4 linked regions of the Schizosaccharomyces pombe genome follow. Changing the gene in region 3 together with the main gene of any one other region gives a genetic interaction. Each region holds a gene or a part of one and is shown on either strand. Other genes may lie near its edges.

What was found.
Region 1: mutations in sap145 (region 3) and hap2 together harm fitness more than expected from each alone (negative genetic interaction), as found in Schizosaccharomyces pombe (one large-scale study listed by BioGRID).
Region 2: mutations in sap145 (region 3) and SPOM_SPAC11D3.15 together harm fitness more than expected from each alone (negative genetic interaction), as found in Schizosaccharomyces pombe (one large-scale study listed by BioGRID).
Region 4: mutations in sap145 (region 3) and sol1 together harm fitness more than expected from each alone (negative genetic interaction), as found in Schizosaccharomyces pombe (one large-scale study listed by BioGRID).

Annotation. Positions count from the first base shown.
Region 1 is NC_003421.2:660,230-663,136, forward strand, and holds hap2 (Ino80 complex subunit), read right to left. Parts: upstream 981-2,907; 5' UTR 953-980; coding exon 941-952; intron 896-940; coding exon 868-895; intron 816-867; coding exon 622-815; 3' UTR 511-621; downstream 1-510. Other genes in the region: sif2 (Sad1-interacting factor 2), read left to right, coding at 69-92; protein asi1, read right to left, coding at 2,113-2,907.
Region 2 is NC_003424.3:134,494-140,909, reverse strand, and holds SPOM_SPAC11D3.15 (ATP-hydrolizing 5-oxoprolinase), read right to left. Parts: upstream 4,666-6,416; 5' UTR 4,580-4,665; coding exon 626-4,579; 3' UTR 545-625; downstream 1-544. Other genes in the region: SPOM_SPAC11D3.16C (uncharacterized protein), read left to right, coding at 1-105; SPOM_SPAC11D3.14C (oxoprolinase), read left to right, coding at 5,809-6,416.
Region 3 is NC_003424.3:4,803,954-4,808,099, forward strand, and holds sap145 (putative U2 snRNP-associated protein Sap145), read right to left. Parts: upstream 2,467-4,146; 5' UTR 2,435-2,466; coding exon 677-2,434; 3' UTR 560-676; downstream 1-559. Other genes in the region: rRNA processing protein Rrp16, read left to right, coding at 1-540; phosphoinositide phospholipase C Plc1, read left to right, coding at 3,833-4,146. UniProt on the Schizosaccharomyces pombe protein: Involved in pre-mRNA splicing. May be involved in endoplasmic reticulum-associated protein degradation (ERAD) and required for growth at low and high temperatures.
Region 4 is NC_003423.3:1,308,519-1,313,486, forward strand, and holds sol1 (SWI/SNF complex subunit Sol1), read right to left. Parts: upstream 3,285-4,968; 5' UTR 3,207-3,284; coding exon 609-3,206; 3' UTR 554-608; downstream 1-553. Other genes in the region: karyopherin/importin beta family nuclear export signal receptor Kap109, read left to right, coding at 4,713-4,770, 4,820-4,968.

The sequences.
Region 1 (2,907 bases), on a different chromosome or scaffold from region 3:
CTTCCGTTTAGTAATCAACAATTCCAACAAATTTATTTTACTGTTTGCTAACACATTATTCTACATAGGTGGATTGGAAGCTGTTTCAATAACAACCGAAGAATCTTTCCTCTTTTTACATTATGTTTACATAATTGAAGAAATGGGAAAGGGCAAAAAAATTAAACCATATTTATCGAGTTGATTACGCATATGTTTCGGCTTTTTCCTTTAGTTTTTTTTTAGTTTCGGTTAGTTCATGATTTATTGACATTACACGGTAGTCTTCTATAATAATCCTACTTAATAGAAGATAAAGCTCTTTTTTTCTCTTCTTTGAAGATTCCTAGTTGATTTCCCACATAAAAGAACGTTGAAATGGGTTACACAAAAAAGGACAACAACAGCCATAGTACGTAGATATTGTATTGATTTCGGCACAAAGTATGACTTTTCAAAAAATTACATAAGGTTTTTTTTCTTCGGTTGCAGAGTCCAATTTTTACCATCAATCATTACATACTTCATATACTTAGTCAAAAAAAAGCATGTTAACGATTATAGATCAATGGCCGGCAAAGTGATTTTAAAACGAATGAAGACTTAAAAATAAAAACATCAAGCGCCTGCCTAAAACAAGTATTATGTCTCACCAGCTTCCTTTTCTTTATTTAACCCTTTTTTCTCGAGCACTTTAGATAGCAATTGCGCTTCATGGCGATACCGCTGAATGTCTCTTTCAACGTTGTAAATTTTCACAGCATACATTTCGCATTCCTTTTCAATTTCCGAGACTTTTCTTCGAATCCTTGCGGTTTTACGCCGATACACGTCCTCTATACGTCGAGTTCATTAGCAAAAAGTCGTCAGACAAAAATCGGTACACACCTTCAGTTTCTTGAAGCAAATTTACCACCTACGCGGTCAATAAATAATTACAAATAGGTAATAAACCTCCTACCTGTGGATCCATTCCCGAAAGCTTCACGTTCTCAGTTTCTGGTGAAGAATGCAAAGCTAGTTTGCTTAAAATCTGTATTGTATTTAACGAAAAACTGCTTACTTCGTTATAGAAGATTGCCTACTACATTACGCAACCAAGGGTTTATAACGATACGAACCGAAACCGTTATCTAGTTTTCTTACCCATCAGCTGGGTATTGCTAGTGAAAAACAAATGTCTAATATAAAGCTAATCCTTTTTTGGCTGACTTCTCTTATCCATTCATATTACATTTTTGCTTCTTTTGGGTAGAAAAAGAATGGATCATGTCTCACATTTACAATACGAAAGTCAAATTTCAATAAACAAAGGTACATCATACATGTGAACAAATATTTCAAAAACGATTTATGATCATTTCATAACAAAGAATCATGAATTTACTTCGGATAAGTTCAAAAATGATATTGTCAGCCACTGATTCAGAGTAAATCTGTCATTCGTTTTATAAATGCACTGTCATAAACGAATACTTCCAGCAGAACCAGGCTCCGGTTGCACAGAAAATTTCAAGTAATAAAGCAGTGTCTCATTGGCAAAATAATTTTCAGAAGGGAAAAAGCGAAATAAAACAGAAAGAACCTTCTGAAAGAAAATTGAAACCAAATAATGTTCAACAACGAAATAAAAACAAACAGAAATGATAAAAAGATAATAAAAAATACAAGGGTTTCACCTTGCTTCTAGCATTGAATTGAAACAATACAGACATTTATGAGTGGGCTGAAATTAAATAAAGAGGGGCGAGGAGGAAAATTAGAAAAAAGAGAAGGGGTCAAAGAGGTTTTAGACGTATATTTTTTGGTAATATAAACCAGTCTAAGATAGAGGAGTTAATATTTCATGAACAAAAGCACATAGAAATTGTTTAAAAACAACGGCAATAATAAGAACCCGGATACACAATCCAAGTATTAAATTAAAGATCCCTTCAAGTACCCAAGAAATTAAGTTATTAATCAAATAAAATAATAAACAAAGACAAAGAAGCAGAGTTTCACTTAAATAATTGTCAAATAAAAATCGACATGTTTTTTTCGACCAAAAAAAAAGAAAACTTAAAAAGAACGAAAAATAATAATTATGGGGAGATATTAAAGCGGGCATTTGTTTTAAAAGCAAAAACTTTTTTAAAAATTGGATTCAAGCAAATTCTTCCAATATGGCTCTTGCCAAATATCATCATTCCAAATTGACTGTGGAACAAGAGAGTTAAGTTGAATGAGAATGTGAAAATCTTGAATAGCTTGAGCAAGTCGTTCATCCTCCCCATCTTCTTCGTTCGTAGATAGTATATAATCGTTAAAAGACTTGTCGCCTTTTAAATCATCGTTACACTTGATAAAATCGTCATAAACAACTTTCCATGCATCAAAATCTTTAAAAGCTTTAAAGAAAACCTTGTTGCTCAGCATGGAAGGGAGAGCAACGCTAATCCATTTAGCATAATCAATTCCATTCGACCAGCTATGCCTCCACAGATATACAAATATGTCCATAAGACCAGAGGCTTGTGCATATTGGCTGTCATCTTCGGTCAACCACAAACACAAGGTAGCCACAGCACTGATTACAGTTACATGTGATGCTAAATTGTCACGGTTTTTATTGTTATCCCATGCATCACGAAGAAAATCCATCGTATCGCTAAACAACTCAGTAAGCGATCGCTGAAGTTGGAAAAATTTATCAGGCTCAATTCTTTGGGCAAGAACGTCACAATTTTCACATAGATATCGAATGAGGAGTCCAAGAACTTCATAGCATTCACAAACCGTGTACGACACAGTTCCATGCTTTCCTTTCTGACCAACTGCCTTAACTAGCATTCCCAGACTTCCTCGAATCTCAGCAGAGCAGCGACCAATCACCAAAATCATAAACCCATCATTTGGCATAATAGAGGCGGGACCAGCAGCTTTAAG
Region 2 (6,416 bases), 4.7 Mb from region 3:
ACTGAGTTTGATACTGCCGGTGTTACTGCTTCTTCTTGCTTTCCTGTGGATGTTAAATCTCCATCTGTGAGAGCTTTCGGAAATGTAACATTCCAATCAGATTGAATTGCTGAAATGAAAGGTTTCTCTTACGTTCCAGTTCGCTTTCTTTTAAGTGATTGCCTTCGTAGGATTGCTTCTTTTTTTTTCGAGCGCAGATGATTTTACCCTTTTTTTCCCAACTTTACTCTTTTTTGTTAGAGTTGTTGAAAGCTCATCCTATTCCTCGCATGCATCCTAATTTTTATGTTCTTAATGCTTTAGCAGTCCATTCCAGTTTTTTTTTTCCTATTACATTAAATATTTACTCATTTATTTTTATATTTCACTATTTCACAAATTTTGGAAACGCGTTCATATATCCTATCTTAATCTATACGGCTTTTTAATTACAATTATATACATTTTCTACAAATGATTTAGTATTCAAGAATATTATATATTATTGAACTTTATCCTGTTGTTGTCACCAACACTTGTAGTATATTCGACAACTATATACAAATATTTTTAAAAACTTTGTTATTAGTAAGAAATTAAGATGTAAAAGACAAACTATTTATATTACCATTAATAAATTATCTAACTAATTCGTGTGCTGTATTTCCTGTAATTGTGAGATGGTGCCATTAGCCCTGAAATGCTGGACACCATTAGCTTTCTTGACAGTATCTACTCGTTCAGAAGGGGGTCCATATCCACCACCGCCAGGTGTCATAATAACAATATGGTCACCAGCTTGCATATGGCATGTGTTTTTACCGCCAACGTTGATTTGTCGAACTCGTTGCTCTCCTGAAGGTAAGATATCCTTTCGAATCCAAATGTTTTTACCGCATTCGGCATCTTTACCTCCTTTCATACCGTATGGATGATAGGCACGACGCTCTGAAAGTATGGAAAGGGTAACTGGAATTCTGAATTCAATATCGCGAATAACACCATCACCACCTTTGTACTTTCCTGCGCCGCCAGAATTTTCACGAATGATAAACTTTCTCAAAATGACAGGGTATCTTCTTTCAAGTACCTCCAAATCAGTAATTCGGGTGTTAGTCATATGAGTATGAACACCAGAAGTTCCGTCTAATCCATCAATTGCACCAGATCCACCGCAAATAGTCTCATAGTATCCAAATCCTGGTTTCACTTCACCGGTCTCTGGATCTTTACCGCCAATTCCAAATGTCAAATTGTTTGTGTCACCCTGACTAGCTGCACATGCTTGGAATGCCTTGAGAATAGTATCAGTGATTCTTTGCGACGTTAGCACATTTCCACCTACTACAGCAGCTGTTTCAGAGGGTTTCAAAAAGCAGTTATCAGGAATGATAACTTTAATTGGAAGCAGACATCCTTGATTAAGTGGGATATTTTCAGATATCAAAACACGTAAACAATAAATGATGGCGCTATAAGTTACTGCCTCCGGGGCGTTAATATTTCCATAGATTTCTTCAGTTGTACCAGTAAAATCAAATATGGCATCGCCGTTTTCTTCATCAATAGTGATGCGTAAGCATATCTTTGACCCATCGTCCATATGATCCTCAGCGTATAAATCCTCACCTAAAAATCTTTCACGTACTCCAAGCAATAATTGTCTAACGGCGCTTTCCGCATTTTCTTGAATTGCCTTCATATAACGTAAAACAGAATTTTTTCCGTACTCCTTGATTAAAGATGTAATTAAATTGATTCCCTTTTGGTTTGCGGAAACTTGAGCCTTCAAATCATTTAGGTTATCGCGAAGACAGCGACTGCCTGAACCACCCTCCACTTTTGCCGGTTCATTGTAGAGTAAATCAATCATGCGTTCTTCCTGAAAAACTCCATCAACCACAAGTTTTTCGCTCTTAATAGTTGCTCCTTCTTCAGAAAGCTCTTTACTAGAAGAAGGCATGCTACCAGGTAGAATACCACCGATGTCAGCGTGATGGGCACGCGCAGCAACGTAAAACATGATCTCGTCCCCTTCGAAATGAGGAGTAATAGTAGTGATATCAGGCAAATGAGTACCACCATATGATGGATGATTGGTAACAAGAACATCACCAGGTTTTAGTTTCCCTTCGTGAATTTTTGCTTGTGTGCGGACACAAGTAGACATAGAACCTAGATGAACCGGCATATGAGGTGCGTTAGCTACAAGATTTCCTTTCGCATCGAATAGTGCACACGAATAATCAAGACGCTCTTTAACATTAGTGGAGACACTCGTTTTCTGAAGAGCCCTTCCCATTTGTTCAGCTACAGCCATAAACCGAGATCCAAATACAGAAAGGTAAATAGGATCAATTGTACTTGCTTTAGCGAGAGAATCGTTTGCCGTATATTCATTTCCATGAGAAATGTCAATTACAACGTGTGTATGCAAAATTCTAGCAACAGCTTTGGGAGGAACAACAATGGTTTGCGTTTTGTCGACTATCAAAGAAGGGCCATTCACTATTGTTCCAACAGGCAAGTTATCTAGGCTATAAACTTCAGAAGGGACACGTCCACCTTCGAAATAAATGTCCTTGACACATGTTGCTAGGCTCTTTTGAACAGGTTCGAACTTCAATTCTTTTAATTGAGCATCTACACTGGGCTCTTTGCTCTGGAAACTTTTTCCGGAAGCACGAATTCTGATATCATCAATAATTATATCTTTATTTTCAAAAATAAAACCGAACTCCTGCTTATGTTTATCAAAAAATGATTGCTTGAAATCCCAAGACTCAAGAGGCTTGCTAATCATCAAAGTGCTGTCAGTTCCTTGATACCGACAATTCAAAAATAACTCATAGCTAATTTGGCTTTCGGTAAATCCCTGCTCCTCAAGGTTAGCTTTCGCTTCTTCTTTAAGGCTATCAAAACGCTTCTTAATAGATTCAGTATTTGAGTCATCCAGAGTAAAGGAGGAAGGCTCTTGAACTTCAGACACGACATCAGCTAGTGCCATTCCATAAGCTGAAAGAATTGAACTATACTTGTGAACTAAAACCTGGGTAATACCGAGAGATTTGGCAATAGCTGCACAGTGTTGTCCACCAGCACCACCAAAAGAAGTCAAACGATGAATGGAGATATCGTGTCCTTTAGCTTCAGTAAGGGCGCGAATTGGGCGAGCCATAGTTTCGTTCGCTATCTTAATGAAGCCAAAAGCAACTTCATCGGCAGTCATTTGACGTTCTTTCTCAAGGCCAGAATTGATCTCAGCAGTCAATTTTTCAAACTCCTTTCTCGTCGACTCGACGTCTAGTGATTCATCCTCATTAGGACCAAAAATTTTAGGGAAAGACTCAGGTAAAAGTCTTCCTAACAGTAAATTTGCATCTGTAACAGTCAAGTACCCTCCCTTGCGATAGCATACTGGGCCAGGATGTGCACCAGCACTTTCTGGTCCAACAACAAAAAGGCCATTTTTCCAAAAAAGACGTGATCCACCGCCAGCGGCTACCGTATTTATATCTAATTGAGGAGATTGAATAGTAACTCCTGCCGTTGTCGTTTCAAAGACATGTTCATATGAACCACCATACCGAGAAACATCCGTAGATGTACCTCCCATATCGAATCCGATGACAGGAATTTTAACGTCCTCGTCATATGAGGTAAGTGCAAAACCTACGACACCGCCAGCAGGACCGGAGAGAATGGCATGTAAGCCTGAAAACTTATTAACGTCAACCAAACCACCGTCACTCTGCATGAACTCACAACGCACACCCTTTGAATTATCCTTTGTCTTTAAACCATGAAGGAATCCTGATTGAAACCCGGCAAGGTATCTTCTAACAACTGGAGAAAGGTAAGCATCAGCGGTAGCTGAAGTAGCACGAGGAACATATTTAATCATCGGCATTAATTTAGTTGAAAGACTGATATTGCTGAAACCAACCTCTTCAGCAATTTTACCAACAAGAAGTTCATGATCTGGAAATGTAAAGCTGTGGGCAAGGCAAACGGCGATACTGGTAAATCCTTCATCGTACAATGCTTGCAAATCTTTGCGAAGTGCATCGCAATCTACCTTTTTCATAATACGAACGACTTCACCAGAACGGCCAACTACTAGTGACGGGTCAGAGCCGTCAATTGTGGTTTTGACTTTCATTGGGTCTTCAACATAATCTTCTAGTGTTACACGCTCGTCAACTTCGATAACTTTAGAGTACAATACTTCAGGTCTTCGAATTCCCAACTCGAAAATATTAGGTCTAGATTGGTTGCCAATTAACAGACCATCTTTAAATCCTTTAGTCGTTATAAAAGCGCATCGTTCACCTTTTCGTTCCAATAAAGCATTGGTAGCAACTGTAGTACCACACCGTAAATGATTAATGCAACTGGTATCTAATTTTTCGGTTCGTGGGATCGATTTTCCTTGAACAATCTCTAAAATGCGTCGGACAGCTTCGATAGAAGCGTCCTTATAGTTACTAGGATCCTCTGAAAGTAATTTGATGACAATAGGAGGGCGAGATTCATCAGCAAAAGTGGCGATTGCGTCTGTAAAAGTACCACCTCGATCAATGTGAATTTTGACACTCATTTTTTAAATCCAAAATGTGTATTAAATCTATGTGTATGTATATGTAGGTAGAAAAAGAAAGCAAAAAATAAAAAACAGCACAAGTTAATGAATTAGGCAAGAATGATATCCATATATATACATAAATTATTAAATCATCACAATATTGTGTAGCAAAGATTGCCTCCTTATCAGACTGAAAGTTGGCGGAGCTCCGTATTCATTTGTGGAGTTCGGCGGAGTGGAGGAGCAGTATCGAAGCCTGCTGATATGGTCATGCAATTATTAGAGTATCTGAATTATCGATGAATCATTAAATTGATATTCAACATGCGTCTAATTAGAAAGTTTTGAGCTGGTCAATATGGAAGTATACTACAGAAATCCTACATATTTTATGTATTGGGTATCATTGTTAACAGTTTGCAAAATAAAGATCTTGACAATTAATTATTATAATAAAGCTTTAAAAATTTGCTAATTTGCAACTTTCCTGTCCGTTCCTAAATTGATTATCGATAAAGAATTGTATTTATCGCAATCATAAGTATCTCAACACTTGTAGTCCTAAGTATTTCATGATGTTTAAGATCTGCTGTTTGGCTATTCAAGGACTCCCTATCTACTTGCTTGGTACTATTGATATCGTAGATAGAACCAAATATGCGAAATCAGTAAAATTAATGTCAAAATACACTCTTTACTAGTAAAAATTAATAATTTATTGGTAATGATGTTAATTTAATTTAATTTGCTTGAATTATTATTCATTTTGATCTTTTTTGCGAAATTTATTTCGTAAAATGGTTTGTAAGATTGTTATCTGTTCTTTAGTAGGTACTTTGTGCACATGTTTCTTTAGATTAATTGAACTGTACTTATTATTTCTTGCTTTGATTAGAGTTAACTACAAACTCTCACATGAGGGATGCACTCGTAAATCTTTTTCTTGGGGCAGTTTATTCCACAATGCAAAAATGTACATACACGAATTATTAGTTTGATCGCTTCGGTTAAAAATCTAAATGGAGAGCACTAAATCTTTAAATGATAAGAATCATTCCTTACGACTATGGAATCCCCCATCTTGGTATAATTTTTTGGACGTTCAATGTCTCGGTCAAGGAGGAGCTCGTTTTACTTATCTTGACTGATTGGAACGTTGACTAGAGGTATAAAAGTTCGCAATTAGCATGCTGTAGTTATTCATTCATTCTTTAAGTTAAGAATAACCTTTTAATTTTTTTATAATGAAACAAGATGTGCGAATTGCGATTGATAGGGGTGGAACCTTCACCGATGTTTACTATAAGATATCTGGATGGAGGGAGCAAGAAGGGATTTTCAAGTTGCTTTCTGTAAACCCTAAATTATACGACGATGCTCCAACTGAAGGAATTAGAAGAGTGTTGTGTTATGCGTCCGGCGAAGAAATACCTCGTAAAGTCCCTTTAGACTTGACAAGAGTATCCTCTATACGTATGGGTACAACTGTTGCGACGAATGCTTTGTTAGAACGTAAGGGTGAAAAAACCGCCTTCATAATCACGGAAGGTTTTCGAAATTTGGTAGAAATCGGAAATCAAGCTCGCCCGGACTTATTCGACCTCACAGTATCAAGGCCTTCACCATTATATCAACGTGTCATAGAAGCAAAAGAGAGAGTTGTCTTAGAAAACCAATTCTCAAAGACAGCTGGTATTGTTCAAGGAATTACAGGAGAATTTTTGCGAGTGGAAAAGAAATTGGATGAAGAAGCGTTATATCAAGATCTAAAGGAATTATACAATGAAGGGTTTCGCTCCATTTCTGTCAGTCTTATGCATTCTTATACATATCCTCTTCATGAAGAGGTAGT
Region 3 (4,146 bases):
GTTTCAGACCAAGACGTTAATCACAGCATTGATTCTGATGACCAGTCTGAACACGAACAAGCAGAAACTCCGATCCCTTCTTCGAAGAACAAACGAAAAACCAGGTCTCAAAGAAATAAGATACGCCAAAGAAGAGAGGAGGAGCTTAGATTACTTGAGCAAAAGAAAAATGAAGAGCTTCTGAGGACGATCGACAAAGCTCCTGCAATATCCAAAAAACTGCAGCAAAAGGATAAAGCTGAGAAATTCTCTAATAAGGCTGTTTCTTCTAGCACAACTGAAATCAAACTGAAGAAGAAAAAATTCGGTAAACATCGATTGCCTAACAACCCACTTGAAATAAAGTTGGGAGATGAGCTGACTAGTTCCCTTAGAGAGCTGAAGCCTGAAGGAAATTTGTTTGCCGATCGCTATTTAAGTTTACAACAAAGAGCAATGGTTCCTCCATCTTTGCCAGTATTGAAGAAATCAAAGTATCGTGCAAAGATCAAGGAAAAATATAGTCACAAAGACTTCCATCTTCAAAAAAACAGTATATAAAATATATTTTAGCTAGGGTATAAATTGGGGTTTTTTTTATTTTCACTTACAAATAATAATTAATACTTGAATAATGTATGGAGCTTAACAATAATACTGTCATATAGATTAACTAATGTACACTGTAGATAATAATTTAAAGACGAAACTTGTCTCTCTTGCTTTGTGTTTTCTGTCGTTTCGCAGCACCAACCTTCATAGCCTGCTCAGACACCAACTCCGAAAGCTCATCTTGCCAATTAGAACTTTGATTTAACGCAACATCTCCTTTGTTGGTTGATGAGAGCATGGAATGTGCATTCCTTTTTTGTGGAAGAGTATCTTCAGCGGTAGGAATGTCGTATTGATGCTGAGGACCCATGAAACCTGAGATATTAGTAGATTTTTCAGGTAAAACTTGATATAAGTCTCGATTAGCAGCATCACTACTTGGTTGAGTATTTTTTCGTAATTCAACATTGTCAACCTCTACATTAGATTGATTAAAATACGTTAAGGGCTCTGCATGCAAATCTTCCCTCTGTGACCTAGGCTCTGACGCTGACTGATATTCCTCAATCGTTTCACGTTCAGTAATTTCTTCAGTAGGATATTCTACGTCTTCGCTCTCTTCCTCTTCACTAGATTCTTCTTCCTCAAACTCCTCCAATTCACCCCAATGCTGAGTGCTCACAGGCGAACCTGTACCAGCATGTATTCGAGGTTTGACATTACCAAACACGTCGCCATAAAGAGGACGATTAAATTGGTCCACAGGAGGTTTTCCCCAACCACCAGGATGAAATCCCCACTGCGCTCCAGTCGGAATTGGACAATTCACACCGGGAATTTTAAGATCTGGATAACTTGGAGGAGGCCCGTATCTCTGCATAGCAAATAACCAAGGAGGAGGTGCTCCTGGAGCAATTCCCAAGGCTTCACGGAGCTCCTCCGAAATGTCGCCGGGCCTCTTTTCTTTCACATCAGCTTCTAATTCTTTTCCTTCAAAATAGCATTCGCCAAAACCGGTTAGCACCGGTTTTGTTTGGTAGCGAAAGAAGGCATCATGAAGCTTTTGATAATCAATGTCAAGCTTTCCCATTTTTGGTTGGACACGCTCACGCATTTTTTGACGCAAAGGCATATCAGCTTCATTTTCATGCACAGCATTACGCATTTGAACTATGCCAGTAGCACGAATATACGAGGGTAACTCGAAGAGTTGACGTTCTATACCTCTTTGGCCACTCAAGTAATCTCTTTTTTGGTTCCAATGACGGGGAACAGGAACAGTATTAGGATATGCTTTTAGATGTGTGAGGAATAAAGGATCAAGCGACGAAACATCCCACCATTCGACGACATCTGCTTTCTCGGAGAGCATCTTCAGTTGAGCAACAGTCATCCTTTTTAACTTTCTCAATTTCTTTTTACTAAGTTTTTCCTCCTGTTGTTTTTGTAAAGCGTCTTCTTCGCCTTCACTCAAAATTTCATCGTCAGAATACATTATTTGGCCCTTGTCGGTATCTTCGAAATCTTTTTCTTGACCATCAGCTTTGAAACGATTAAAGACATCTTTAAATTGCTCTATTAGCGGATCATTAGGATCTAATTCTACAGAATCGACGATTGTAGTATAGACCATCCCGTCAACACTATCAGTTTTGTTTGTATCATAGAAGTTTCCATTAGATTTTTTATCATTGTATAGGTTGTCATTATTTTCAGTCAACTGGTCCTTGTCATCACTATTTTTTTCTGCCAATTTAGCACCAGAATTTGTCTTTTCACGTAGTAATTTTTTTTTCTCTCGACGAACTTGGTTTCTGCTCTTTTTATTTTTTTGCTTATTATTCCTCTCTAAAATTTTCTCCAGTTCCTTTAAAGGATTTTGAGCTGTCTGTATTTCAGCCATTAACAAAAAATCTAAGCAACAATGCTTTGGACGTGTCAACAAGTACATGCATGGAGCGTATTAACAAAACACTACCACCCAAAAAACGAGTATCCTCCTTACTGAAGATTTTTTGTAAAAAAAAATACTAGCAATAGTCATGATGAACGGGTCCTTATTCTTACTGTAATTAATAGAAAATAGTTGAGTTAACGTGTAACAATATATTGCAATAATAAAATGCGATAGTAACACTATTTCCATGAATTCCAGCAATACACAACAACTTCTTAAAACATTAACATATTATTAAGCTACTGTAATTCTTCATTCCTATGTTGTAAATAAGGTTCTGATTGTTTCCATTAAAGACCAAATCGATTTTATGTTGTTTCAAGCCTGCAAATACTATGAACACCTTATTTGCAATCTGGAATTTTTCGTTCTTCTCTATAAATGGTTGTGAAGTCGCCTTTAGGAGTTAACCTTGCCAAATTTTTTCAATAAACTAAGTACTGCTTCAAACGATTCTCAAGGTGTTGATGCTTTGAGGTTACCTTCTAAGTTACTGAAATGGTAAGTATTAGGGTTTGATAAAATAAAAATGACTGTCGATATGCACTAGTTTAATTGCACCAAGTTCTTGCTCTATCAGAATTATTTGGATGAGAGTTTAAACTAGGCCATTAGACTATGTTGACTGAACACATTATAACTTAGAAACGTTCCGAGAAAATTATCTACATTACTTTTAATCGGGAACAAAATAAACCAGTATAAGAAATAAATGTTTGAGAGGCTATTAATTTCCGACGATATTAAACTTCATTCGTTAACATGAACAGTGAGTTCCTTATGAGCAATCGAATATTTAGTTACTAATTGATAAATTAATTTTTCTATCATCACTTTAGTGTAAAATAAAACAGAAAAAAACCATTCATAGTAATACTCAGAGAAATGGCTTTTAATGAGTGAACAAAAACGCAGATCAATTGAATAAAGCCCAACGGTTTTCTCGAACTCGATTGTTTGCAATTCATCTTAGTGATAGTCACAGCGTTTCCGATAATCGATTTTCTGTGATTGAACACGTTCTTATTCATAATTGCGTATTAAACCAAAGCGCGCTTGCCACTAACGTTAACAAAAGTCTCGGATGTAAGCTCCTACGATATAAGAGGTAAAAGTTCCGAAAACAACTAATTTTTGTCCCTATAATAATATCAGGCTTACTTGATTTAAAGTGGTGGATTGAATCTATGCTCATATGCAATTTTGAGTGCTATCCACTTATCTTTATTGACACATACACGGCGTATTGTTGCTGAATGAAAACCGAAAAACCGAAGAACTTTTAAATATCAACATAATGATCAAAAAGCCAATGGCGGTGTAAATCCTTAAATAGATATCATAATGAATTGTGAAATGGTAACGTCGCCTGAATCGGTCAACTTAGGAGACTCCAACAGAGCAGTAAGTCCATTTTGCCTGCCCGATTGCTCAGAAAACGCAGTTGCTCAGACGAGGAGTAAAACCTTAGATAATGCTGCTTTGGATCTCCCATATGTTGGCAATAGGAAGAAATCGGAGCAGGATTTCTTTAAGATGCTATCATCAAGGGATCGCGATGCTCATAGTACTCTACGTAAACGATCAAATTCTTTATCTTCTTTTCTGAGTACGAAATCGACATCAGCTTCAGAAAATAAATTCCATGGAGGATTGAA
Region 4 (4,968 bases), on a different chromosome or scaffold from region 3:
TACTCCTGTACGTACGAGTTATGGTGGAGATTGGACTTTACATCCTTTTAGTTATAAACATATATAGTGCTGTATTGCTTTTTGGATTGTTCGGCGAAGGTTTTTTTTTGCATTGATCAACAGGTGATGAAATTTCCATTGAACATTCGCAGTTTCCCCGGAGCGGCATACGAACCCAATTTTGCCGCAGATGTCGTGCATAGTCCTTCCTTTGGATGTCTGATGTTGATCTTGCAAATTTTTCCTTTTTTTTTTTTTAATTAAATTTTTTTGTGTTGTGTTTGGCTTGTAGTTGTAGTGGTGATAAAGGTTGATTATCATGTTCTCCAATATAGAGTAGTTAAACTTTTTCTTGTTGTGATGGAAATTGTAGTCTGGTTGATTTATTGAATTCAGTCTATTTAGAATTGCTTGAAAATACTCTTAATAAAATTGTTGCAATGCGTAGAATGGCAATTAACTCTACATAGGTTAAGTAGTCTTTCTATAAAGTAAATAAATCATCTCTAAAAATTTGAAAGCATGTTTAGACAATATACATACAGAAACGCATCAGATTAACTAGAATGAAGACAAAAATATTAAACGTTTGGAAAATTATCTACAAATTAAATGCCAGATTTATCATCCGTATTTTCTAAAGACGCATCACTGTCCCCAGTTCGATCCAATAAATTTGAGATCTCTTTTAGAAACGAGGTTTCTGTTGTAGGAGCCAGCAAAACAGCGAGGAGAGTTTCACTTTTGGGGAAAGAAGATAATGAAATATTTCCAGCTTCCACTAAGCTCAAAAGTCGACGCACCGTAGATATGCCACTCTGAATCACATAACGAAAAGGATTCGTAGTAGGATACTGCGATGCTACACGTGATGGTGGATTAAGGGAAGGATGACCTGATAATAGTATGAGTAGGCGTAACATGGAAACAAAAAATCCCTCGCCTATATTACACCAATTTGCCGCTTGTTCCGATTGTTTAACATAGGAAACGGTAGCTGCTAAACAAAAAAATGACTGCTGCAATAAGGGTAACCTTCGCTCGCATATTTTAAGGCAGTGGCGGTTAAATTTTGGGACAACAGAAGCAAGAAGTAGAAAAAGGGAGTCTAAAAATTTTGGATTGTTATCAAAAATAGCTTGAAAGTTTGTCTTGTTGTTAGCATCTTTGGCTAGTAATTTGGCATAGGCATTAATGGCGGGACCAGCATAGGGATGGGTAGCAGGTGTGTAACTAGGTATAGAGGTTGGAAGGGTGTCATTTAAAATAGTTTTACTCTTCTTTCTGTTAAATGGAGAAAAAGACAAAATAAATAGTAAAACGTGACGAGCAACGTCGACATTCGGTAGAATGAAATTTTGAGAAAGTTGACAAAGTACGATTAATACATCTTTATGCAAATCCAAGGTATTTCTTGATGAACGTAGAAGGGAAGTGGCATGAAAATTAAGACTTTTGACTACACGAATGAGTAGAGGAAAAAAATCTGGATTTTGTACCAAAACGTTTTGGTTGGCCTCAAAGTGAGAGAGATTTCTAAAAATAACGAAAACAGCTAACAAATTTTGCTCCGAATTATGAACATCAATAGCATTGATGCTATCTTTTGTTTTGTTTTCGCTTAGTGAATTTGAAAAGTCTTCTCTGGAGAACTGCGATATCTCTACGCAACAATTGTAAAGAAGTTGTCTATAAGAAGGACGTTTATCGGCGATTTCCATTAAATCCTCATTAGGAAGAACAGATAGCAGATTATCAAGGCACTGAGTTGCAACGTCAATCAACGCATCAACTACATCCTGGCACTCACTTAACGGAAACATCCATTTTTGATCATTTGTTAATATAAGTAAAACGTTCATTGCATACGTTATTTCTTTTTCCAAAGTAGATTGCAGGCTCATGCACAAGGCTTGAATGTTTACAGTCCCCAGATCTACGATTGAAGGCATCTGAAGCCGAAGCAAAGATTCATCGAGCCTATACGTGGCCGCGACATTCAAGGGATAACCCAACATAGGATCGATGGGCTTTTTTATCGGTTGATAAGCAACGGGTTCGGCAGAATCAACAGGAGCTGCCGAAGAAGAAGTTTGAACGGTGGGCGGAGTGGGTCGAGTCGGAGCAGAAGGGTATGGTGGAGCATTTCTTTCAGAACTAACTGTGGTAGGAGCAGCTGGAGAGAAACGATTAGCGGTGAATGCTGGGGAGGGTGACTTTGAGTGAAGTGATCCATGCATAGAACCATTGGCATGTACAGCTTCTGGGGTGGTTTGGACCGGCTTTTGTGGATAGTTTTTTGGTCTGCTTTGAACATTCGCAGAATGATTAGCTTTTGCTTGTTGAAGTGATTTTTGTTGCTGTTGAGCAGCAAGCCATGCTTCTTCATATGGAAGCAGATAGGAATTGTAATATTGAATTAGAAGGGAAATAGCATCAGGAGATGGAAACCCCAAGGAAGCAGAAATTTTTGGCCAAAAATTATGAGCTGAGACTTGTCGAGATCCACCGGCACGCATAACCAAGGCGTACAGCATCATTAAATTAATAGGCGTATTATTTATTTGAGGATAAGATTTGATTGGCGTCCCCCGCTTTTCCATAAAAGAAATAAGGCTAACCATGAATTTGTCAAAACTAGCAGCATAAGCAGGCGTTAGTTGATTAGCATTACCAGAGGGAGTATTTGGGGAAGGTGCAGGTTGAGGAGTTTGTCTTACAGCTGGGTGGGCATTGATGCCAATTTGATTAGGAGGAATTTGTTGAGAGAGTAAGGCCTCTCTGCTTTGCATTTGTCGTTGATAAAGTTGTTGCTGCTGTTGCTGTTGTTGTTGCTGCTGCATTGCAGCCTCTTTTTCTTGTTGAAACGGGATCCGACTTGAAGGCATCATGGGACTAGAGTATTTCACAGATCCAGAGCCATTCCATGCACCGTTAGAGGCGAAATCAAATGATTGATTTGGCAAATTACGTTGAGTTGATGGAGATTGTCGGAAGGGCTGTGAATGAGCCAAATTGTTAGGCTCATTCTCGGAAGTATTCATCATGTTTGCATTTCCATATTCTGCTGCATACATCCCTTGGCTTGTCGAAAAGCGTTGAGGATACGCAGGTTGTTCTTCCTGAGTATTATAACTTTGACCTTGCGTGGGATATGATACTGCGGTTGGATAATCACTCGCAGGAACAAACCCTTGATTATTCATGATTCCTCATACTAAATCAAACAAAGAGTAAAGGGACCTTAAAATACACGTTTCAATATATTAACGTCTAAGGCGCTTGGCAGCTGAAAGTGCTTGAAAAGCAGACGAAGTGCATATAACGAGTTGTTTAGTGCTGCCTTTAAGAACCTAATCTGTGTGTTTCAGAAAATGCTTAAATTCCTAAAAAATCTTTACACTCATTCCTTTAAATCTCGCAAACGTGATTTCTTGCCTTTGCAGTGTCTCTTATTTCCAAGTCAATGACAATTGTTAGCATTGGGAAGCATTTATCGATTAGTCAGGTATCTAAAATTTTAAAAACAAAATAATATCTTATTCCTCTTGTAATAGAAACAATATTTATTAACTTGCTCTGTTAGTAGACTTGGCGAAACTGTAAACAATCACGAGTACAACATCTTCTTCTTGCGGAAACAGATATTTTTTTAATAAATTATTTTTTTTTTTTTTAAAATAGTAAAAGCATATGAGTTAACATATTCGAGATCCCGTTATCCTCCTTTTCTTTCTTTTTTTTTTTTTTTTTTTTTTGAAAGGAGCAATCAAAATTGACACATTAATTCAAATTTATCTGGTCTAACCTTTTTTTTATTTTTTATTCATTATTTTTCCTTCTTTCTTTCTGGCTACATAAGACTCGACGCAATGTCATTTTATAAATTTCATTGTTTTCTATAAACGTGCTTTCATATGTGTAAACCTATTGATGAATGAAACAAGATAGTAGAATATGGTAATTTCTATTATCAAGCAATTGGATTTAGGTTGTTGAACTCTATGGACAAGGGCTTGTACGTGTAAAATATATATGTTTATGACTTAATTATTTACTTTTGCAAATCTATGGTTTCAAGTCAACTCGCAAAAGGAATATCCGATTCAAGAAGGAAAAAAACTAAATACTACAATAAAAAAAGGTTTGTAGTATTTGAGATAAAGATGGAGATGCTATATTGCACATGTAGAATTTGATGGCATAAACAAGAATTAGATTTGAAACAAAAGTCAACTAACACAACTTTCAAGTCCACGTATAAAGCGATTTCTATTCTGACGGTTCATAAAATGTTTAATGAGCTTGCAAACTAAAACCAAGTAATTCGGAAATTAGGTATTTACAAGCTGATAATTAAAATGTGAACCCTTGAATTATTGATAATGAATTATAGATTTTATTAGTTTTAATTCCTTTTTTAAGTAATTTATCAAGTATAGTCCAACTATTTATTTACAAATATTGGTATATTAGGGTGTTTTAATAGAAAAAAAAACAAAAATTAAGCGAAGAAAAGTATTACATTAACAAGCCTGAAAAAGAAGCAAACAAACTAATTAAAAGATGTTAACTATATCAAACTTAAGAGAAAATTATTTAATAAATAAAACCGGAATTAAAAATTCTCTATAACGATGTTAGAGAAATTGTTCTAGTTACGTCGGTGTCCTTCAAAATCTGCCCTTAACCACAATCCCTGTAGGAAAACTATGGATGACATTCCAACTCTTCTTGCGAGAACATTAAACCCTACGACTTCCAAAAGTGGTAAGATACCCCAACAGAGTGGATAAAGCAAATTTACTAACTGATATAGCTGAGGAAGCACTGAAAGTATGGGAATTACAAGATAGTTCTTTTGCACTAAAACTCCTCAATATTGTCGCTGAGGATACAGTAGACATCAATATTAAGCTGGCCGCTTCATTGTATTTCAAAAATTACATTAAAAAACATTGGGATTCT